Linked DNA regions of Rattus norvegicus. The protein of the gene in region 4 binds, or shares a complex with, the protein of the main gene of each other region. Links are inferred from orthologs where the notes say so. Each region holds a gene or a part of one and is shown on either strand. Other genes may lie near its edges. The genes, in order: Snap25, Napa, Cplx1, Vamp2 and Stx8. A codon is read from its position in the direction of its gene.

Region 1 (3,511 bases), on a different chromosome or scaffold from region 4:
TTGAGCTCAAAACATCAATTTTAAAATTACACTTGAAGCTGACAGATATTAAGACGTGTTGGTATATTGAATAAGCATTAGAACTCTTCCTAGATGCGTGTATATTTCCCTCAAGCTCTGCTTCTTCGGTAACAACTTTCTTCTCACTCTGTCTTCCAAAATTGCTCTTTGGCTCCCAGGGTAACAAACGATGCCCGGGAAAATGAAATGGATGAAAACCTAGAGCAGGTGAGCGGCATCATCGGAAACCTCCGTCATATGGCCCTAGACATGGGCAATGAGATTGACACCCAGAATCGCCAGATTGACAGGATCATGGAGAAGGTGAGTCTATAGCTCTCAGGTACTGACTACTGACTGCCATTACGAAGGGGACACTACATGCAGGCAAACTAGTTACTGGGTATTTTGCCCAAAATATTTCAAGATAAAAACACGAGATTCTGTGGTAGAACTGGAATGAAGATTAGAGGTCGTTTGAGTTTCGATGTATTATGGGGGCTGAGTATTGAGCATAGGGTAGTGGGTATTCAAGAAAAGTGTTCTGCCAATGAGTTACATTCCTACCCCAGACCATACGATTGAATGGTGTTTATATTTCTCTATCTCTCCCATACCAGACATGTGCTAGGCACTTAGAACACCTGAAAACAAGACAGATCATATTCTCACTGCCAAGGAATTCATATCAGGACACAACAACCATGAAACAATTCACCATACAAATCAGACACTACTTCTTTCCTTACATTCTCATTCCTCATAGCATGTTGAATATTAATTATAACCTTTTTTACCTGTAAAATTCCAAATGGGAGAAGATGGAAGCATTTAACAATGATTTTATTTGTGAATATATGTCTGGCTACTCTTTTGCTGTGTTCTTAGTCTCCGTGAGACACTGAAGTTCTTAATCTGAGATCTTGAGTGTCTTTATATCTTCTCTTGCCAAGAACAGAGTTGGTTAATGTTTAGATCTTTTAAGTCACAAAGCTAAGTAATAGCATCTTGATCCCCCAAGCATTCTTCAGTACTGCAAAGGGATGAATTAATAGTATTGTGTCATATGTGCTCCAGATAAGCAATATATGACCACAGAATATTTTGCCTGATTGGTATTGAACTACACATATGTCAGAGCTGGCTAGAAAAATGCTTGTGTGGTGCATTTTAGAGCATGCAAGTTAGAGCATGCTTGTTGTGGCTAAGCAGCTTTTGCTGTCATGAAGCTTTTAAGGCTGTGAGAGCCAATGGGTTTTAAAGCCACATTGAAAGGTTCAAAAAGTGCTGGAACCAATTCAGTCTGACTTAAGCCATTACGGCTCCAAAGGAAAAATGAACATAGAGATAATTGCTCAGCTGTTCTCCAGAAGGGAAACAATCTGAGAAAACAGGAAGTGCTTGTTTTCTATCACCGAACCAAATTGACTCGGAAGCCAGCAGATAACTCAGCAGAGCCAAGCAGGGTTCCAGAGAAGAGATTTTTACTAACATAAAGAGGTCAAAACTTTGAGTAACTGGATTGGGAAAAGAAATATTTATTCCTCCTGTAAAGGCAGCAGAAGCCACATTCTGATGCCTCTGCTGACGTTGTTCTCTAGAATGGTGAGAACTTTTGGTATTTAGCTGTTCGTTACCAATGAAGGAGTACGTTGCCATAAAGGTTTAAGGAAATGCCAGACACGTTGATGGGAAACCACTGCTCTGGTTTTGCATCAACCCTAGGCTGCTGAGTCACAGAGGTAGAGTGAAGGTTATAATTGCCTTTCAACAATTAGTATAGCTTAGCCAATATTTGAAATAGAACTTCCATACATAAAATCACAATAGAGTTATTCCAAGGATGTTAGTGGGCTACACTATTCCTTCTTTCTCAAGGAAGTTCTAATCTTTGATAACTATATCAGAAGTCTCAGTCTGTATAGGGTTGAGCTAAAACCACACAGTAGGCAAAACAAAGAGAATTTTCTTCTCTCCTGGCCCCTCTATGAGCTTCTCCATCATCATTTGGGTTGATGGTGAACTCTGGGGAGATGAAAAGAGTTTTTATATAGTCTTGTGAATTTTTAGGACATTGCTTTGTGTTTATGCTTATGTGTGCTTATATGTACAATCTTTCAAAGTTACAAGCACATTGTTCTTCGAGGAAACTTGACATTGGGAGTATGTTTCCATCCCAAGCTTCGTACAGACCAGTGTTAATGGAGCAATGAAGAGAATTAACCAGTGTTAATGGAGCAATGAAGAGAATTAACCAGTGTTAATGGAGCAATAAAGTAGAGTTTGGTGGAAGAAAGTGTGTTAAGATACAGCTGGGTGGTCCCCACGGACTTCCATCATTGGGCAACCTAGATACTGAAAAGTAAGGCCTTGCCCTCTAAAAGGGCATGTGCAGTTCACCAATTCTGTGAGCTGTATGGAGGGACAGCTTGACTCTGGAATCTGAACATGCTGGCATATGACATACACACAGTTTGAGGTGTCTGATCTGGGCCAGGACTGCACCTGCCTGAAGCACCCAAGAGTTCGATGTACTCAGGACCCCCTTCTAAAAATGTCAGGGCTCCCTAATGGGTACTGGCCTTTCCGAAAAGGGAAATTATGAAGTGCATCTTAGAAATGCTGTCATAGGATTTCTCTAATCAAACGGAATCCTCAGATGGGGTAGCCCCCATTTTCAAAAAAAAAAATTCTCAAAGATGAACAAGGAGAACAGGATGAACACAGACAGAGGCATTTTCCAAGGAGCACACCTGAAGGGAGATTCTGTCAGGTTTGTTTTGTTTCTTTCTAAAAGGTGCTATTTCTTTTATATACCATGTAAAAAGTATGTGGCACTTTTATGCCATGTGTTATGGGTCTGGAGTTTGAACATGCTTTAGAGAACTTGAGAGGGAGGAGCAAGCATCCACTGAGCAGAGGTGCTCCAGATGCACCCTGCCTTTGAGAATATCCCAGGAATGGCTTCTGCTCTACTTAAACATCCCCCAAGCTACCTGGCAAAGGCCAGACAGTGCGTTCATAAACAAGACAGTCTACATTTGCCTTCGGAAACAATATTTGTTTTAAAATGGATTGCTTTCTCACTTCAGTGTCTCTGAGCTCAATCTAGAAATGGCACATTTCAATCTATAAGAGCATGTCAAATTGGCCTGAGCTAGTCTTTTCCTTTTCAAAAAAGTATTATTTCTGACACAGTTGGTAGGTACAGAAGAAGGCTCTAGGAAGCAAAGAAAATTGGCAGGATTATCCATTTTCCAAATGAGGAGCTGGGGGGTCAGAAATATGTCTATAGTTCTGAATAATCAGGACAAATCAATGTTCCCTTTTTTGATGTAAATACTCATTTTGAAGCCAACTCTTGATTAATCAAACAGATGGTAAAGAGCCATAGCCAGATAATTCAGTTGTGAATAATCCAGAAACATGTTCTACTTTCCAGATCTCTGTTTGAACATGGATGACTCCAGTGTGCTAGGAGTTTATAAATTCAAATTGACTATAGAAGACC
Region 2 (3,511 bases), on a different chromosome or scaffold from region 4:
TGGGCCCTCTTCATGGGGGCTCTGCACCCCCATCTGAAGAGCACTGTCCTCTCCTTGGTGCATCCAAAAGGTCCTGGCCCTACTGGCTGCTTGAATAGCAAGCTGTACCGAACACCAGGATGGTACCTTCATTGTACCATTTCTTCTAAGATTTTAAATTGGGAAAAGGATTTTTTTTTTGAACAAGTTATTTGGAGGAGAGAGGCATGAGTGGGAGGCATCTTCTAGCAGATGGAAATGAACTCTCAGTATCTTTTAACCACCAACTCAGGAGGGGGTTGGGAGAGGCACAGGGCCGGACAAAGGGTCTAGATGGACTACAGACCATGTGGTAGGAAGGCTCCAGGGCTCCTACTGGACTGAGTGTGCTGGGCTCTCTCGGGATGTGGATGCTAAGGTTGCTTCCTGTGGGGATTTCAGCAGCTAAAGCCTGTTGGCATGGGATCTGTTGAGGGGGCTGTCCCTGCCACAGAAGCAAGGGAGAAACATGGATTTACAGGGCCTTGGCTCCTTGCTCTAGGAACAGCTTGGAAAGCAGCAGGCTGCTGGCTGACACCCTGATCTGCTCTCACCACAGGGCTTCTGATGCCACAGGTCAGTTCCTACCCTCCTGGGTGCTCAGCCTGTAGAGAGAGGCTTACAGAACCCAGCTCAACTCTACATTACTCTGAAGTCCCTGGCATATGCAGAGCTAAGCAAGCACCGTTCACAGTAAAACAGGGACAAACTGCAAGCCCCAGCAAGGAGAGGGGATGGATGCAACAGCGTCAGGTGCTTGTACATAGTAGGCATCCAAGAAACCACAGAACAGTAGGCGTGGGGTTAGGTAGAAGACCCGTGAGGACAGACTATTTCCCTGCCTATGCACACACAAGGCAAGCTATAAAAGGGTTAAATTCCCAGGCCGTCAGCTGCTGCTAATGGAAGTCTCAGGTGGGATCCCTAAAGAGCTGACGGATGAGACCACAGGGCAGGTGATCAGACAGGTGAGGGAGATTCCTCCTGAACAAACTGGGTGTTCAAGCCTCCCTGGCCTTCCTCCACCTGTTTCCTAGGACACTGGCCACATGGGAGAAGCTCTAGAGCTCAGGGTGGCTCCCTCCTGGATATCAGAAGCTGCTATGTGCACCTCGCAGTAAGTGGATGCTATCACCGAGGAGAAAATAAAGCCCTGAAGAGTAACAGGGCTAGGATGCAGTTTCATGGTGCAGCACAAGGCCCTGGGTTTCTTGGGGGAGGGGGAAGTGAGGCTCAGGTTACCCAGGCATGTCTTCCCCTGCTTGGCTAATCTTCTCTGTGAGCCCTGACTGGCCCTAGACAAAATGGCTGTTATCTTTGCAAATGCAGTCCATTCCCCTCATTTGTGGAGCTGTGATTGGGGAGGGTACCATGGCAGTGGGGCTGAATGTCACTCAGCTGTCATCCCTCCCTGTCCAGCATGAGTCCCTAGCCCTTACCATCAGAAGCTCTCCTCTCACAATTGTGCTAGGTACCCTCTCCACCATTACGCCCTTAGCTGCAGCATCCTCAGTGCACATCCACATTAGCCTGCACGTGTTGAGGACAGGGCCCATGCCTGAGTCTCTGGAGGAAAAGGACCCAACCACAAACTGGGAGGTACAGTTCTGTTCAAAGAGCTCATGATGCTAGGGCATCCTTTAGGCTGGCAGCCACTAGCACCCAGGAACTGGTCCTCCCAGCCCCTCCGGATGGAGCAGCAGCTGAGGGGCACAGATGCTAGGCAGTGTCTCCAGGCCAACCAGTCCCCCAGGGAGCAAAAGGGGAAAGCATGAGGAGGGCTGTGTGGAGGAAAGGACTGCCCTGAGCCGCTGGCTGTATCCAAGTCCTACCCAGCTGAGAGGCTGTCTCTCTCTGCTTGTCAGCCCAGGGACGGAGCCAACACAGTCATCTCTCTAACTGGGAGTGGCTCTGTCAACAATGGCAGTTATTCACTGATGCTGCAGAGAGCATGGGGTGCGTGTCTTCTCCCTAGAGGTGAACCTTTATCCAAACACTGAGCACCTCCTTTTGAAAAGAATAGTCACTTCTTTTCCATTCTTCTAAAGAAAAAAATCCTAGATATTTTAAAAATTATTAATGAGACTTAGTCTCATACAGCCCTAGGTGTGCCTCAAACTCGCTTTGTAGCCAAGGGTTGAGGATGGTTTGTTTTGAGTACCTGAATTTTCTGCCTCTGCCTGCCAAATGCTTAGATGATAGGCATGAGCCACCATGACTGCGTCAGACACCTCTGCTTGCTAAAAGTTAAAGTTAGCAATCTATGTGGCTCTAAGATTTAAAAAAGAAATCATTCTGGGGACCGAGATGTGTATAACACATTCTCAGCACATCAGAGGTCCAGGCTGAATCCCTAGCATCACAAATAAGCGAATAAAAATAATGAAAGCAGGGGTTGGGGATTTGGCTCAGTGGTAGAGCCCTTGTCTAGGAAGCGCAAGGCCTTGGGTTCGGTCCCCAGCTCCGGAAAAAAAAAAAAAAAAAAAAAAAAAGAACCAAGAAAAATAACGAAAGCAAACTCCCCAGCCCAGGAAATCCGAGTCTGAGGTCCCTGGGCTGTGCTGCGTCCAAACCTGTCCCCAGAGGCTCTGCTTTAAGGAACTGGCCTCTGGCAACTTCCCCTGCTTCTTCTTGGAGTGCAGGGAAGCCAGGTCAAGCAGAGCTCCACTTTACTTGGCTTGGCTTGGACTGCCCTGCCCCCTTCTGCATGCTAATTCTGACAACTGAACAGCTTTGCCTGGTTTCCTGGCAAACAGTGGGTCTGAAATGGAACTCCCACTCCCAAATGCTCAAAGCCTGGGTGGGAGAGGTGCCACCTGCGGGGCAGGATGCCAGTGACAGCAAAGACCAGCCAATTCTGCAGTCAGGGCTTGTTTTGCTCCTGGCCTATCGTGTGTCAGCCACTGGAAAAGCCCAGATCTGTGCAGACACCTGAGGATGGGGACAGTGCTCACCTGTTCTGCCGTCTGTGGCTCCCACAGGCCCTTACCTTGGGGGTCAGCTTTCTTGAAAGCGTTGCCGGCGTCCACAAAGCAGGTGGCTGCATCGTGCTTGCTCTGGAGCTGTAGGTGCAGTTGGGCAGCCTGGCAGAAAGCGTTCCCAGCAGCTAGAATAGAACAGATTGGCCCAGCTTCAGTCACGGCCCCAGGAGGCACTTCGGGCTCTCAAGAACACAGCTAGAGTGCCAGGCAGAGGTCCAGATCAGCCTACTCCAGCCCAATGGCAGCCTTCGCAGAGCTTTCTGGTGAATCGAGGAGGTCAGAAAGCTGCCTTGGGAAGCCTAGGTCCCACTATAAACAAATGGCCAGGGTGAACACAGTACCCGCCCATCCCCTCCACCCAGCAACTCAAGAGCCTCCACTTCCACAGAGAGGAAGAAAAGGCAGGCAGAGCCGAGGACTAAAAGTACAAAACATCCAGGCTCTTGGGTTCAGAGACTCTCCTCTTGCACAGAAAAGTCTGGAACCTAAACAGAGAGCAAGGAGAAGATGGG
Region 3 (4,155 bases), on a different chromosome or scaffold from region 4:
TGGGCTGACATGGAACAATGAGGGAATCCAGGCTGGCAATTACCCAGCTAATTTCAGCTACGTAGACAGCCAAATCAGAGATTTCAGTTTCTTTAAAAGCCCACCTCAGGGCCTGAATTAGCCACCAAATTAATTGTCTGTAGCAGCCTGGGACTTTCTGGGTATAACACGGGTCTCTTCTGATACAGGATGCTGGCTTGCCTCTGAATCCTGTCCCGGTGATGTAATCATTATAATTAGATTCAACCTGAGTCTACCACAGCCGTGAACTCAGCAAGCACACTGGGTCTCCTTTTCATCACATACGAGTGAAGTCACAGACACCCTCTGGGAGATGCCTATTTGGGCAGATTCTCCTCTTTTGGGCCCCAAGACCCCAACCAGCTTTCTCTCTGTGAGTGGTCCCCTTCCCTTTTCCATACAGCAAAGGATGCCTAACACATTCCAGCTGAGACCCACACCAGTCAAGGGGCCTCCCTGCAGTAAAATTGGTGTGAGCTCTCAGCACTGAGGCTACACAAGGGTGTTGGGGTACCTAGAGCAGGTAGCTTGAACAAGCATGAAGTCCACCTAGGGCAATCTCAAATCCTACAGGCTTGAGCTGACTAAACTGCTCTGTTGAAACCCATTCTGGCCAAACGGGTACCAAACCTTTTAGCTCACTGTTTCAGCACCTCCTGGCCAAGAACTCATTCCACTGTCCTCTACCAGTTTCTAGACCTACTGTTGCTAGCTACAAAGATGGCTTTGGGCCAAGTGGGGACAGGACTCTCTTCAAACAGTGAGTGAGTAAGGAGGCTGCCCTCACTCAACGACATAAAGGGGCTATGTTTTCTCTGTAGAAGTGGACTTGATTACATAGTTATCCTTTCTTGTCCTTGTAAATAGTACTGTCTCTTACCCGGGTGAAACCCATAGAGCTCAATGCCACAGTTGGGATCACCCAGATCCTGTTTCCTAACGCAATCCTGGTGCATGGTTTGTTCCCAGGACTGACACAACGAGAGCTGCTCACAAGCCTCGCCGGGGTATCTGCATTGATCAATGCTGCTCAGTTCTTGACTCGTCTTGGGATGACCAGTGCGTTCTACTGCGCCATGGCACGGGGGCATAGGGCCATCTTACACAGCACATTCTCCCCATATCTCATATTAAATCTGCAACTACCTGCAGAGGCAGTGAGTGAGGTCAGAAGTGGTCATGCAGCCATGTGTCTCCATGTCACTGCAGTGGTAGAGACATGTCTCTCTTGAGTATCAGATGTCTGTGTATCCCTGGTGGCCCAAACCCATGTCCTCCTCCCTGCCCACCTCCTACCTCCCAGGGCTTGTTTCATCACGAACTCCATGATGATGGCTTGGTTCCTCAGGAGACACTCCGGGGTCAGATTTCACATTCAAGTGTGGTTGGAGTCCTCTGCCTAGAGAGAGTAGGTGGTCATAGGTACCCTGACGGACTCTTCCCAAGACCCTCATCTACACCTCTCCACTATCCTGAGAGTCCAGTGCGAGAGGCTTTGTTCCCACACCCAGACCAGGACGGCAGGGTTCAGAGCCCAGCCAAACCAACAGTCATCTTGCTGCTTCTGGGGTTTCTGAAGGAAGCTTTTAACTGCCACTGCAGCTCACAACTTGGGGCCACCAGTTACTGGAGACTGGTGCCAGCCTCCTCAAGTGGGGGTGGGGCCCAGGGGGCATTTGAAGGTCAATGCTCTGCTTGTAGCACCCAGATTCTGGCTGCTCAACCTCCTTGGCAGTTTTGGAGCTGTGGGGCAAGGGTCCCTCTGGGGAAGAATTGGAGAGACAAGTCCATGAATGTTGCCCCTCAGGAAAGGTCCTTATGACTTCTGACTAGTCTCAACTATATTTGTCTGTAGGGAGACTCTGGAGGCCCGCAGCAGTACTGGCCCGGGAGGGAGATGACAGTGTCCGGGTCTTCCACTAGGAGGGGAAACAGCTGATCCACATTGTCTCTGCATGAGGTAGGGCGACCCAAGCCAGAATGCCCAGCAGCGTTTAGAAAGGTGTTTTTTGTAATGCCAACAGCTGCAAAGACATCCCTTTTTGTAGGGTCTTTCCTGACAGGGAACCTGGTCCCTAGGGATCCAGTATTTCACAGGTTTCCCTCTGCGGAATGAGACCCGAAGGGGTGCCAGGCAGTGAGAGTGTCCCAGAAGCTAGGGGTTCAGGGATGCCTTTGCAGCAAAGCCAGTTGCCTTCTAAACTTCTCTCTGTCTCGGGGTAATCGGGGGATGGGGGCTCCGCAGGGCCAGGCTTGGAGAAGCTCGGTCGCTGCGGAGGAGATTCCGCAAAGACCAAGGCATCCTGTTCTTTCGTGGCCGCCGCACCCTTTGCTTTGCTGGGCGAGGTGCCCGACCGGAGCACGGCCTCAGGCAGAAGCGCGCCAGGGAGAGAAGAAAGAAAGAAAGGAAAAAAAAAAAAAAAAAAAAATGCCGATGGGAAAGGGAATCAAGGGCCGCTTCAGCACCTTGAGACGGACAGCGCCTTCCGGGCTGATCAACCTTGGGTCTGAAAGGCAAGGAACCAAGAGTAGGGGAACCAAGGGTAGGAGACCCATGGCTAGAAAGCGGGGATCCGGGAAGGGAAGCCCCGGAGTCGGGAGGAAGACTGAGCTGGGAAGGGGAAAGGTGGGAGCCGGTTGAGGTCGGACTGGCTGCTAGGGCGCTAGTTACCTTCCAAGGTGAACGATCAACAGCAGCGCGCTCTCAGGCCGGCGGGGTCCATGTGGCGCTCTGTGCTGCTGCGGCGGCTGAAGGACACCGCGAGGAGGGCGCGTCACTCAGAAGCGCCCCCGCCCGCGTCCCGCATGACGAGGAGGGCGGGGCGCGGCGGAGATGGGGGGGTAGCCGCGCCCCCGGTTCCCAGATTCTGGCCTGGCTCGCGCGACAGCTGCATAGGGGCCCCTCCTTGGCCTGGGCCACTCTCTTCATACCGGCTTGGAGACCCTCCTGAATTCCTCCTGAAGCGCCCTCCAGAAACGCAGGGAGAACGCAGGGCTGGGGTCGCCATCCCTCATCTACCCACCACGTTTGCTCTTGACCCGGTTGCTTTGCTCCTTTGCTGGCAGGGCGGGAAGAGGCGAGCACCGCCCGAGACCCCCGATCCTGCAAGATAAGCCCACACATCCAACCTTCTCCGGTGTGCAGAACCGCCAAATGTGGCTTTGGTGGGATAGGAACCCCAGCCAGTCAGGGACGCCTGAAGGTCACTGCGGACATGGCTGGGCAGGGGCTCCTCGGAGACAGCCACAGCCCCGCCTCTAGGCCGCCCCTTCCCCGGCAACGGGATTTCAACTCTGCTGCGGCTGCACTGCAGAAGAACCCGGTGGCCACAAGGTTGGCCTGGCATCCCTGTACTTGTCCTGGGGGGCGGGCGGGGGCTTCTGTGAGGCAATCAGCTTCGCAGAAGTCAGAGCATATGGGGACACCTAAGCTGTTTTTTGATTCTGGGTAGCCAGAGGTATTTCCTGACCCGCAGGGTCTTGTGCTGATGGTCATTGCATTAACTGTTACTGTTCCTCCTGGCTGAGTCATTCCTCCGGATTAGGTAGATCTTGACCTTCACCCAATTCAGTGAAACTTCTTGCCTAATGAGTATTCCTCCTTCACTAACATCCCAAAGCTGCCCCAGGGTGCTTGGTGGCTTGAATTCGAGGGGCTGAGGGAGGGTATGGAGTCCATCGTAGACTTGCTTTTATCAGTTTTTGTTCCTTTGACCTGGCAGATTCAAAGTAGAAGAGACCAGGAAGGGAGCTGGAGTGGAGACAGGAAGAGAAGTCCCCCATCTTCTAGCCCTGACTTCAGCCTGGAGCCTTGTAGTTAGGGATACAGTCTGATCCCACTGGTGAAGTGCCTGCACTGTACCCAGGTTTATGCCTAGGAGAGGGGATCATTCAGAAAGTTGGACATGACTCACACCATACACAGAAGAGTCTCCCAGTGCCATTCCTATTGACACCATCCATCTCAGTTCACCCATCACACTTCTGGTAAGGTTGGTTGATGCCCCAAGCCTTGTTCAGGCCCAGGACTGATGCCCCGTGGAATGGGGTCACCTGTACACAGATGTGCCCAGTCTGACTCATTCTGTGTTTTAGGAGTCTATGGTAGCTAGCAAAAAAGCAAGGGCCACAGCA
Region 4 (4,101 bases):
AAACTAACTCTTCCGAAAAGAAAGAAAGAAAAAAAAAAAACACAGAAGAGTGAAGAGTAATGGAACAGAAAGGAAGAAACCCAGGGAAAAAAAAAAGACAGTGTATGCAAATGATATGCTAATCAACATGTTGGAAGCTCCCAGAAAACCTTGGGATTCTTAGGACCAAGTAGGACCAGTCTTAGAGGCTCCCAAGGGATACAAAGATGCAACCTATGGAAGCCTAGACAGGTGGGGTGTTTTGTTTGTTTCTGTGGGGTTTGCTCTGTTTGGGGAGGGTCTGGAATTGTACAGGGAAGATAGGGGAAGGATTGGTTAAATCCAAGGGAAGGAGGAGAGGGGCTATTGCATAGCAGATGCAAATGAAGGGACTTGGGGCTGAACAGGAAAGAGGAAAGGGGGCAGAGGGTGAGAGAGAGAGGTGATGGGAACCTCAGGAAGGGGTGTTAAGGACAACCGGAAAAAATCTTCTAGTAATAAAACTACAAACAGACCAAATATATATAATATTATATATGTATAAATAACAGCTGGCTATTTACAGGGGGCACACACACGGACACACACACACACGGATCCAAGGGAGGGGGCTGAAAGATATGGCTGAGAGGTGGAGGACGGGCTGAGGGTGGGGGAGAGGCCCTTCTTAGGCAGGGCAGACTCCTCAGGGACTTAAGTGCTGAAGTAAACTGTGGAGAGAGAGGGCATGAGGAGGGGTAGGGGGTGGGGGAAGGGAAGGAAGAGAAAGACAGCAGTGTATCAGGCCTGGCCCTGTTCCAAACCTCCCCAGTCCCCCACTGACATCCCTTCTCTCTCTGCCTCAGTTTCTTCAAAGGGACTGCACAAGTGGGTATTGAGATCCCTTAAACGCCACGATTGCACAAAGGGGTATCAAACCTTTAAGGCACTGGCATGTGACGATAGCTTTCAAATAGTGGAGTAAGTGTATCCTGTGATTGGAGTTCAAGACCCTCAGCCTGACCTGTCTTCTACTCTCCAGTTTTAGAAACCCCAGACTGAGCTTTTAGGCTCAAAGGGTTCCTAGAAAGGCACCAGGGACCACCCAGTATTCCTATCCCCAAAATCTTACCCAGAACTACCCATAACAAGGGAAAATAAGGCTATAACACTCAAGTTGGGGCTCTACGTGAGTCAGAACTGCCAATAGCAGCAAAATGTGTTTTGGTAGAAGAGTAAAAACTAGGTCAATGACCTTCAAAGCCCCGACTCCACAGGGAAACCCTCTACTTCTCCAGGGAAAGGGCCCTGGCCACTCCTGCTCCACTCACCGATGATGATGATGAGGATGATGGCGCAAATCACTCCCAAGATGATCATCATCTAGGAATGAGAGGGAGGTGAATGAGGCGAGGTGACACCCCACTCACCCACTGGCCCTCCACCTGACCCCATCTCCTTCCCCTTTACCTTGAGGTTTTTCCACCAGTATTTGCGCTTGAGCTTGGCTGCACTTGTTTCAAACTGGGAGGCCCCTGCCTGGAGGGCATCTGCGCGATCATCCAGTTCCGATAGCTTCTGGTCCCGCTCCAGGACCTTGTCCACATTCACCCTCATGATGTCCACCACCTGGGGGAGGGGTCCACGAGGCAGGGGGGTGTGCCAAGGTACGCCTTAAGGAGGGCACTTCTTGAACATGTGCCCATTGTGGCACACATGGAACATGCACCCCGATGTTTTCAGGCTAACATGCCAAGGACATACACAGAACATGCTTAGCACACCTGGGGACATGCAAGGAGCACACATCAGGGGCATGCTGCTGCCACAGAGCTCAGATGCTCAGCAACACCCTCTATCTTTAGGGCTTGGATCAGCCTATCACCAGAGCACACCTGCCCCAGCTGGCACACCCCGGGCTAGCACAACTGATTCATCCTGCAGCCCTTCCAAGTGCAAGCTGACAGGGAATCAGAGAGGGGATACGGCAGGTCTCGGACCCAAACCCACAGGCATAAACTGTCATTACCTTCAACCCAAGATGGGCTCCCACACCTATTTGCCAGTCCCATCATCTTTCACACACACACACACACACACACACACACACACACACACACACACACACACACTCACCTCATCCACCTGGGCCTGGGTCTGCTGCAGTCTCCTGTTACTGGTAAGATTTGGAGGAGGTGCAGGGGGGCCACCCTCGCCGGCCGGGGCGGCAGGCGGGACGGTGGCAGCGGTAGCCGACCTAAGGAAGAGAAACGGATTAAGACTCCAGGCCTGGAGCCTCTGGCCCTACAGTCCGGGCTCCACCCATCCACCTGTCCATCCACAGTCCCTCCAGTCCTCTCTTGCGCGAGAAGGCACCCGATGGGAGATACAGTCACTTTAAGGCCCCAAAGCGGTTGAGCCGCGTGACCTTGAGAGACCCTCCTCGTGCCTCAATTTCCCCTCCTGTTAAATGAGGGCGACCTCCTTGATGCTGCCCGGGGTCGACCCGAAATGACTGACGGCCATGGTGACAGGGGCGGGGCGGAGGGTGGACGCTGGGTCCGCTCCCTCCTGCGGGCCATCGCCCGTGCCAGACCGCACGAGACCGGGTTCCGGGCACCAGCGCGCAGTCATGGGCACCAGCCTGGCCAGCGGCACGAGAGGCGCGGGCGGGACCCCCGTGTTTCCCAGCCCACTCCTTGGGGTGGCGGCCCGCAAGGGGCAGAACATCGCGGGTGGCGAGTGACAGGCGGCTGACTTACATGGCGGGGGTAGCGGGCAGAGGACTTGGCAGAGGCAGTGACAGCGGCGGCGGCTCGCGCTGGCTCCGACTGGCGCTGGCTACCCGGGACTGGAAGATGGCGGCCGCACGTCACCCGCATCCGGGCACTGCGGCGTGGGCGGGGCGCGGCAGGCGACACGTCTCTAGCGGACCGCGGGGGCGGGGCGCTGCAGGGCCGGGGGTCGTCTGGTTGGGTCTGTTGGCCTTAGGCTGTGGGCCCAGCTCGCCAACCCACCGCCGCCCCTAAGACACCTGACACCTGCCTCTTTTGGAAGGAACCCACAACCGAGATTCATACATCTCTTCCCCACAAATTACATCCTTCCTCATACTTGAAGAGGATACACAGGTTCTTACACCTTATAATTCGACGTCTCATCCTACAACCTGGTTCCAACACATGGTGTATGGGTTGAGGGTGAAAAACAAGAAGCGACCAAGATAGGTACCAGAGCAATACTAACTGGAATCCTGACACTGTAGTGGAGGGGGATTGTGAGAACTAATCTCGCCCATCACCCTGCAATTGAATGTCTCAAGAGAGATCTGAGGCTTCTTATTTCCTAGCAGGGTATGGGCAAAAGGAGTAACAGAGGCACACACACACACACACACACACACACACACACACACACAAAACCGGGGCAGGAGGGGGGCTGTGAAAACTGCCCCTCCTTACAAAGAACTTATGACCAGGTGTGTGTTTGGCAGTCAAAGCTTGAGCAGGCCCCACAAAAATTAGACAAGCTAAAGACTCTAGGGAGGGCCAAGACTGTCTGGTGGTGCCATAGGCTGGATCCCCACTGAAGTCAGCTGCCCCACCTCAGCTTTGATTCTAGCATACAACCCGGACTGAAAAGAGACAGTAGACAGGGTGGTCGTACCTGAAGTACTTAGGTTATAGGCACAACTTTACATGTGGATTAGTCCCAAACACATGACCTTGACAGAACCAACTGCCTCTCCCTGGACCCTAAAATTTAAGTGCATCACATATGGAGACAATATTTGTCAAATGGCTTAATCTAGATAACACTATAGGATATTATCTTAGACCTGGTCCATTCCTGACTGCTCCATTTTAAGTACACGAAACAGCCACAGCAGCTGTACACACTCCCATCCTGCATCTAGGGAGAGAGAGAACCAGGGAGCAGCTGCCTATTTAGCAAGTCTCCGGGGTGAAGGAGGCATTTTAGGGGAGGACTAGTAGCTCTGAGGTGGGAGTGCTCAACACATCCCTGAGAGAGCCTTATTCTCAGAGACAAGCAGGGTCTGGCTTTCCTCCTCTTCACTGTGGGCTTCCCAGAGCCTCCTGTGCTGCAGTGCCCAACCCCCTCCCAGCAGAAGCCCCAGGACAA
Region 5 (3,511 bases), about 1.1 Mb from region 4:
TGGAAAACCATGCAACTAAGTCATGCCAACCATCCTGCTAACATAAAAGGGCTCCTTTAGGAGAAGATGTACTTTTGAAACACCTTCAATCGTTTTGTCAAAAGAGCGGTATTCCTACATTTCCCCACATTTAAAGCCAGGACATATGGTTTCTTCTGCTACCAAAAGTCAGATCTTTGGCCTGAATTAGAGCCAATTTTAAGAGATACAACCATGGGATCAGTTTTCACTTCAATATAAACTGGGTTTCAAGAATTAGTTTAGTCCCCAGCTCCGAAAAAAAGACCAAAAAAAAAAAAAAAAAAAGAATTAGTTTAGGTAGCAGGTTACATTGTGAATTTCTTTTTAAAATGTTTGTTTTGAGGCAGGATGGGGTGGGGTAGGGTGCCTCATCATAAAGCCTAGCCTAGCCGCAAACTTACTATGTAGCCCAGGCTAGCTTTTAATGCTCTATCTTGCCTCACTCTTCAGTGCTGGGATTACAGATGTGTACAACCACCCAGCTCAAAACAGAGCTTAAGTATTTGATAACTCACGGGAGGTTCAGATGACCCAGCTTGCCTTAATCAAGTCCCAACACACTCGTTACCCGCAAAGCTCCCAGGCTAGGGACATTTACCTGTGTCCCTGAAAGAATGAAATGGGCAAGTCACACCCCACCAGTCTACAGCTGAAGCTTTACAAAGCAAAACGGATGCTATAGGCCAGGAAGCAGGGAAGTAGAAGACATCCCACGGCTCAGAGATTGCTCGATTGTGGGAGCATGTGGCTAGCACGCACAGAGCCCTGATTCCACCCCCAGCAGCTCCGCAAAACTGGGTATACCAGAGTATGTCTTTATCTGAGCTCATAGATGTGAGGGCAGAGGTTTGGCTATTAATGCTTGGTCTACTGAGAAAAGGGGGGAAAATGCTCTGCAAAGTCGAGCAGGGAACCACTGCTCAGAACTGTCAAGGAAGTCCTGTGGTTGGAGAAGCATCTAGCCATCCTCAAGGCAGCGACAGAGAGCAGTATGTGACTCTACGAAGCCCTGACAGAAAGTGGTAGCTTTCCTGCCTGTGAGTCTACGCCGAAACGGATTTATTCCTTAGTTAGGTCACTGTCACACAGTGAGCGCTTAAGACAGAATGTACGATTACAGCAACAGTGTGGAAACCACGTCCTCCTTGAGCTGTGGAAAAATCTGGATGGCCCAGATTCCTTCCTGTCTTAAGATTGCTTTTCCTCCCACTCCAGAAAAGGGTGGGTTTGTTTACATGGATACATCTGGCGCGTCGACACAGCTCTTAGAAGTAAGTCCTTCAAGAGGTCGATCTTTACCTTCAGATTCTTCAACAAAGTTCTGATTGTCAGGGTAAGCTGCAAAGAGAAGGACACAGCCTGAGTCCACCGGACCTGAGGTGTAGCATCTGCCAAGTTAAACAGACCTGGGAGGGAGGCTTAGCCTCGTGAGGACACTCTCAGGGTTGTAAAGGTCTCAATGGCATCATGGTCTAGCCACCCACCTGGAGCTTGTCCCCATAGTGCACCTGCCCATGGCAACCTGGTCCACACGGGAACACAGACATTGAGTGGAAACTGTCAGCTTGCATTCACACTCGGCTGGAATTCTCCTACCCGCTGTATTTTACCCACCCTGGGACCATGCAGGAAACTGTGTTCCCCCAGTCCTTGCCCAACAGCAAAGCTCCCTGGTTCCCTCAACCATGCTTCAGATGACAAGGTGTCAAGTCCCATTACCATCCTGACTGGTCTGTGAACACTCTGGTGTATTTATAGCCCATGTGAACACTGGAGAATACGTGTTCTTTTTCCATGAAAGGAATGCTAACCACGCACGGCTCTTCTTCTACAACTGTGAGGATTTTCTCCAATCATCCTAAAAACCCAGAGGACATGTCTGTTTGTGACTCTAAAGATGAAGAAGGGGTGGGGAGAGTCCTACTCTGACATTTGGAAATGTGAAGAAGAAAAGGCCCATTTAAATGAAAACAGATTGGACTTGGATGAAATCAGAGGAATATTAAAAAGGCAGAATGCCACTGTTGTCACCGCTGCTTGCTAAAAGTAGCAGTTACGTGAGGCATGTTGGGGTACGCCTATAATCCCAGCTCTGGAGAGATGAGAGGATCTATCTCTAGGAGTACAAGGTCAGCATGGTCCAGGCTACACAGTGAGACCCTTGCTCAACAAAACAACAACAAGGTAGCAGCTATATAGCTCAGGGAGAAGCAGGACACACACACACACACACACACACACACACACACACACACACACACACACACGGACACACACGGACACACATACACATGGACACACACACATTCTCATTCATTCTCTCTCTCTCTTCTCTCTTCTCTCTCTTCTCTCTCTCTCTCTCTCTCTCTCTCTCTCTCTCTCTCTCTCTCTTTCTCTCTCTCTCTCTGATGAGCAAGGTAACAAGCATCAAGCAACTGTCCAAGATGTCAGCAGGCTGGAAAAGCCTAGCTTTGTTCTAATATCCCTGGAAGCCAAAGGAGCGCCCATCATGCTGATGTGGAGCTGAGGGGAAGGAGCCCGCCATGTATTTAGAGAGAAGAATAGAGTAAGAAGCAAAAACTCCAACCAGCTGGGAGCAGTACTTCACACTGCTCCCCACTTGTGAGGCTTCAGCAGGAGGACCACTTGAATCCTGAACTCAGGGCCAGCCTGGGCAACAAAGACAGACACACACATACCCCAAACTCTATCAAAAGGGCACACCACACACACACACACGCACACACACACATGCACGCACACGCACACACACACGCACATACACGCACACACACACACAAACCCAAGGGACACACGCACGCACACACACACAGACTCAAGGGTACAGTGCCAGCAGCTGCCAACAGTGTGAACCCTAGGGAATGTAATGCCAGCAGCTATCAAAAGTATGAACAACTGTATAAAACTGTATAAAACTGTATAAAACTGTAGCTGTATAAAAAGTCAGTGAATGAAATACAGAGGAATTTATATCTTGGAGGAATGGTCATAATTTACCGATGGCGAAAAAGTAAAATTCGATACAACATACCAAAAGATCTAAAAGATTTACACACATGCACATGCACACCCCCACCCCCCACGGCACACCTCAGATCTAGCAATGCTTTCAGACGTCAGAGCTCAGCAGCACGCGGATTCCTCCCTGCATTACCTTAGGTGTCTTCTCACCTCTTCTTTCACACTGATTTCGTTCTTGAATCTTCTCAGCGATTTCTTGGGCAATCTGACAAGTAGAATCGTACGTGGAGAACCTGCACCAAAGTCAAAGTCGCGTTAAAGTTCTTTAAAAGAAAGTGCTGGCTAGGTGTGGTGTCACGTGCCTTCAATCCTAGCCTTGCAAAGGCAGAGGCAGGAGGATTTCTGTGAGCTCGAGGCCAGCCTAGTCTAAGGGAACACACTGACAAGGAGATGCTGTTTCAGGGCAGGAGACACAGAGGCAAGATGAGAAGTGACGTGCAAAAAGCAC

What was found.
Region 1: the proteins of Vamp2 (region 4) and Snap25 are in contact, whole or in part, in a crystal structure (PDB 1SFC), measured with the Rattus norvegicus proteins. Residues at the interface, in NP_036795.1 of Rattus norvegicus: Asn25 (codon at 2,145), Thr27 (codon at 2,139), Ser28 (codon at 2,136), Asn29 (codon at 2,133), Arg30 (codon at 2,130), Arg31 (codon at 2,127), Leu32 (codon at 2,124), Thr35 (codon at 2,115), Gln38 (codon at 2,106), Val39 (codon at 2,103), Glu41 (codon at 2,097), Val42 (codon at 1,587), Ile45 (codon at 1,578), Met46 (codon at 1,575), Asn49 (codon at 1,566), Lys52 (codon at 1,557), Val53 (codon at 1,554), Glu55 (codon at 1,548), Arg56 (codon at 1,545), Lys59 (codon at 1,536), Leu60 (codon at 1,533), Glu62 (codon at 1,527), Leu63 (codon at 1,524), Arg66 (codon at 1,515), Ala69 (codon at 1,506), Leu70 (codon at 1,503), Gly73 (codon at 1,494), Ala74 (codon at 1,491), Gln76 (codon at 1,485), Phe77 (codon at 1,482); in NP_112253.1 of Rattus norvegicus: Gly131, Gly132, Phe133, Ile134, Arg135, Arg136, Asn139 (codon at 187), Leu150 (codon at 220), Glu151 (codon at 223), Ser154 (codon at 232), Ile157 (codon at 241), Gly158 (codon at 244), Leu160 (codon at 250), Arg161 (codon at 253), Ala164 (codon at 262), Leu165 (codon at 265), Met167 (codon at 271), Gly168 (codon at 274), Ile171 (codon at 283), Asp172 (codon at 286), Gln174 (codon at 292), Asn175 (codon at 295), Ile178 (codon at 304), Asp179 (codon at 307), Ile181 (codon at 313), Met182 (codon at 316), Ala185, Asp186, Asn188, Lys189.
Region 2: the proteins of Vamp2 (region 4) and Napa are in contact, whole or in part, in a cryo-EM structure (PDB 3J97), measured with the Rattus norvegicus proteins. Residues at the interface, in NP_036795.1 of Rattus norvegicus: Gln36 (codon at 2,112), Ala37 (codon at 2,109), Asp40 (codon at 2,100), Glu41 (codon at 2,097), Val43 (codon at 1,584), Arg47 (codon at 1,572), Val50 (codon at 1,563), Asp51 (codon at 1,560), Leu54 (codon at 1,551), Glu55 (codon at 1,548), Gln58 (codon at 1,539), Lys59 (codon at 1,536), Arg66 (codon at 1,515); in NP_542152.1 of Rattus norvegicus: Arg116, Thr118, Lys122, Ser157, Ser159, Ser160, Lys163, Leu197, Tyr200, Ser201, Lys203, Arg239, Ser268, Ile269, Arg271.
Region 3: the proteins of Vamp2 (region 4) and Cplx1 are in contact, whole or in part, in a crystal structure (PDB 1KIL), measured with the Rattus norvegicus proteins. Residues at the interface, in NP_036795.1 of Rattus norvegicus: Arg47 (codon at 1,572), Val50 (codon at 1,563), Asp51 (codon at 1,560), Leu54 (codon at 1,551), Asp57 (codon at 1,542), Gln58 (codon at 1,539), Ser61 (codon at 1,530), Asp64 (codon at 1,521), Asp65 (codon at 1,518), Asp68 (codon at 1,509), Ala69 (codon at 1,506), Gln76 (codon at 1,485); in NP_074055.1 of Rattus norvegicus: Leu41, Arg48, Tyr52, Glu56, Arg59, Glu60, Met62, Arg63, Ile66, Arg67, Tyr70, Gly71, Ile72.
Region 5: Vamp2 (region 4) and Stx8 share a complex: the UniProt entries of both Homo sapiens proteins name them as parts of the SNARE core complex. The link is inferred for Rattus norvegicus from reciprocal best matches to the Homo sapiens genes VAMP2 and STX8.

The regions. Positions count from the first base shown.
Region 1 is NC_086021.1:144,571,084-144,574,594, forward strand, and holds part of Snap25 (synaptosomal-associated protein 25), read left to right. Parts: intron 1-179; coding exon 180-324; intron 325-3,511.
Region 2 is NC_086019.1:85,925,431-85,928,941, reverse strand, and holds part of Napa (alpha-soluble NSF attachment protein), read right to left. Parts: intron 3,125-3,511; coding exon 3,008-3,124; intron 1-3,007. UniProt on the Homo sapiens protein: Required for vesicular transport between the endoplasmic reticulum and the Golgi apparatus. Together with GNA12 promotes CDH5 localization to plasma membrane.
Region 3 is NC_086032.1:1,327,727-1,331,881, reverse strand, and holds the start of Cplx1 (complexin-1), read right to left. Parts: upstream 2,810-4,155; 5' UTR 2,693-2,809; intron 1,421-2,692; 5' UTR 1,349-1,420; coding exon 1,318-1,348; intron 1-1,317. UniProt on the Homo sapiens protein: Positively regulates a late step in exocytosis of various cytoplasmic vesicles, such as synaptic vesicles and other secretory vesicles.
Region 4 is NC_086028.1:54,291,492-54,295,592, reverse strand, and holds the start of Vamp2 (vesicle-associated membrane protein 2), read right to left. Parts: upstream 2,805-4,101; 5' UTR 2,723-2,804; coding exon 2,721-2,722; intron 2,216-2,720; coding exon 2,095-2,215; intron 1,588-2,094; coding exon 1,429-1,587; intron 1,342-1,428; coding exon 1,290-1,341; coding exon of another isoform or gene 1,216-1,289; exon of another isoform or gene 690-1,215; coding exon 673-689; 3' UTR 1-672. UniProt on the Homo sapiens protein: Involved in the targeting and/or fusion of transport vesicles to their target membrane. Major SNARE protein of synaptic vesicles which mediates fusion of synaptic vesicles to release neurotransmitters.
Region 5 is NC_086028.1:53,157,666-53,161,176, reverse strand, and holds part of Stx8 (syntaxin-8), read right to left. Parts: intron 3,297-3,511; coding exon 3,197-3,296; intron 1,360-3,196; coding exon 1,265-1,359; intron 1-1,264. UniProt on the Homo sapiens protein: Vesicle trafficking protein that functions in the early secretory pathway, possibly by mediating retrograde transport from cis-Golgi membranes to the ER.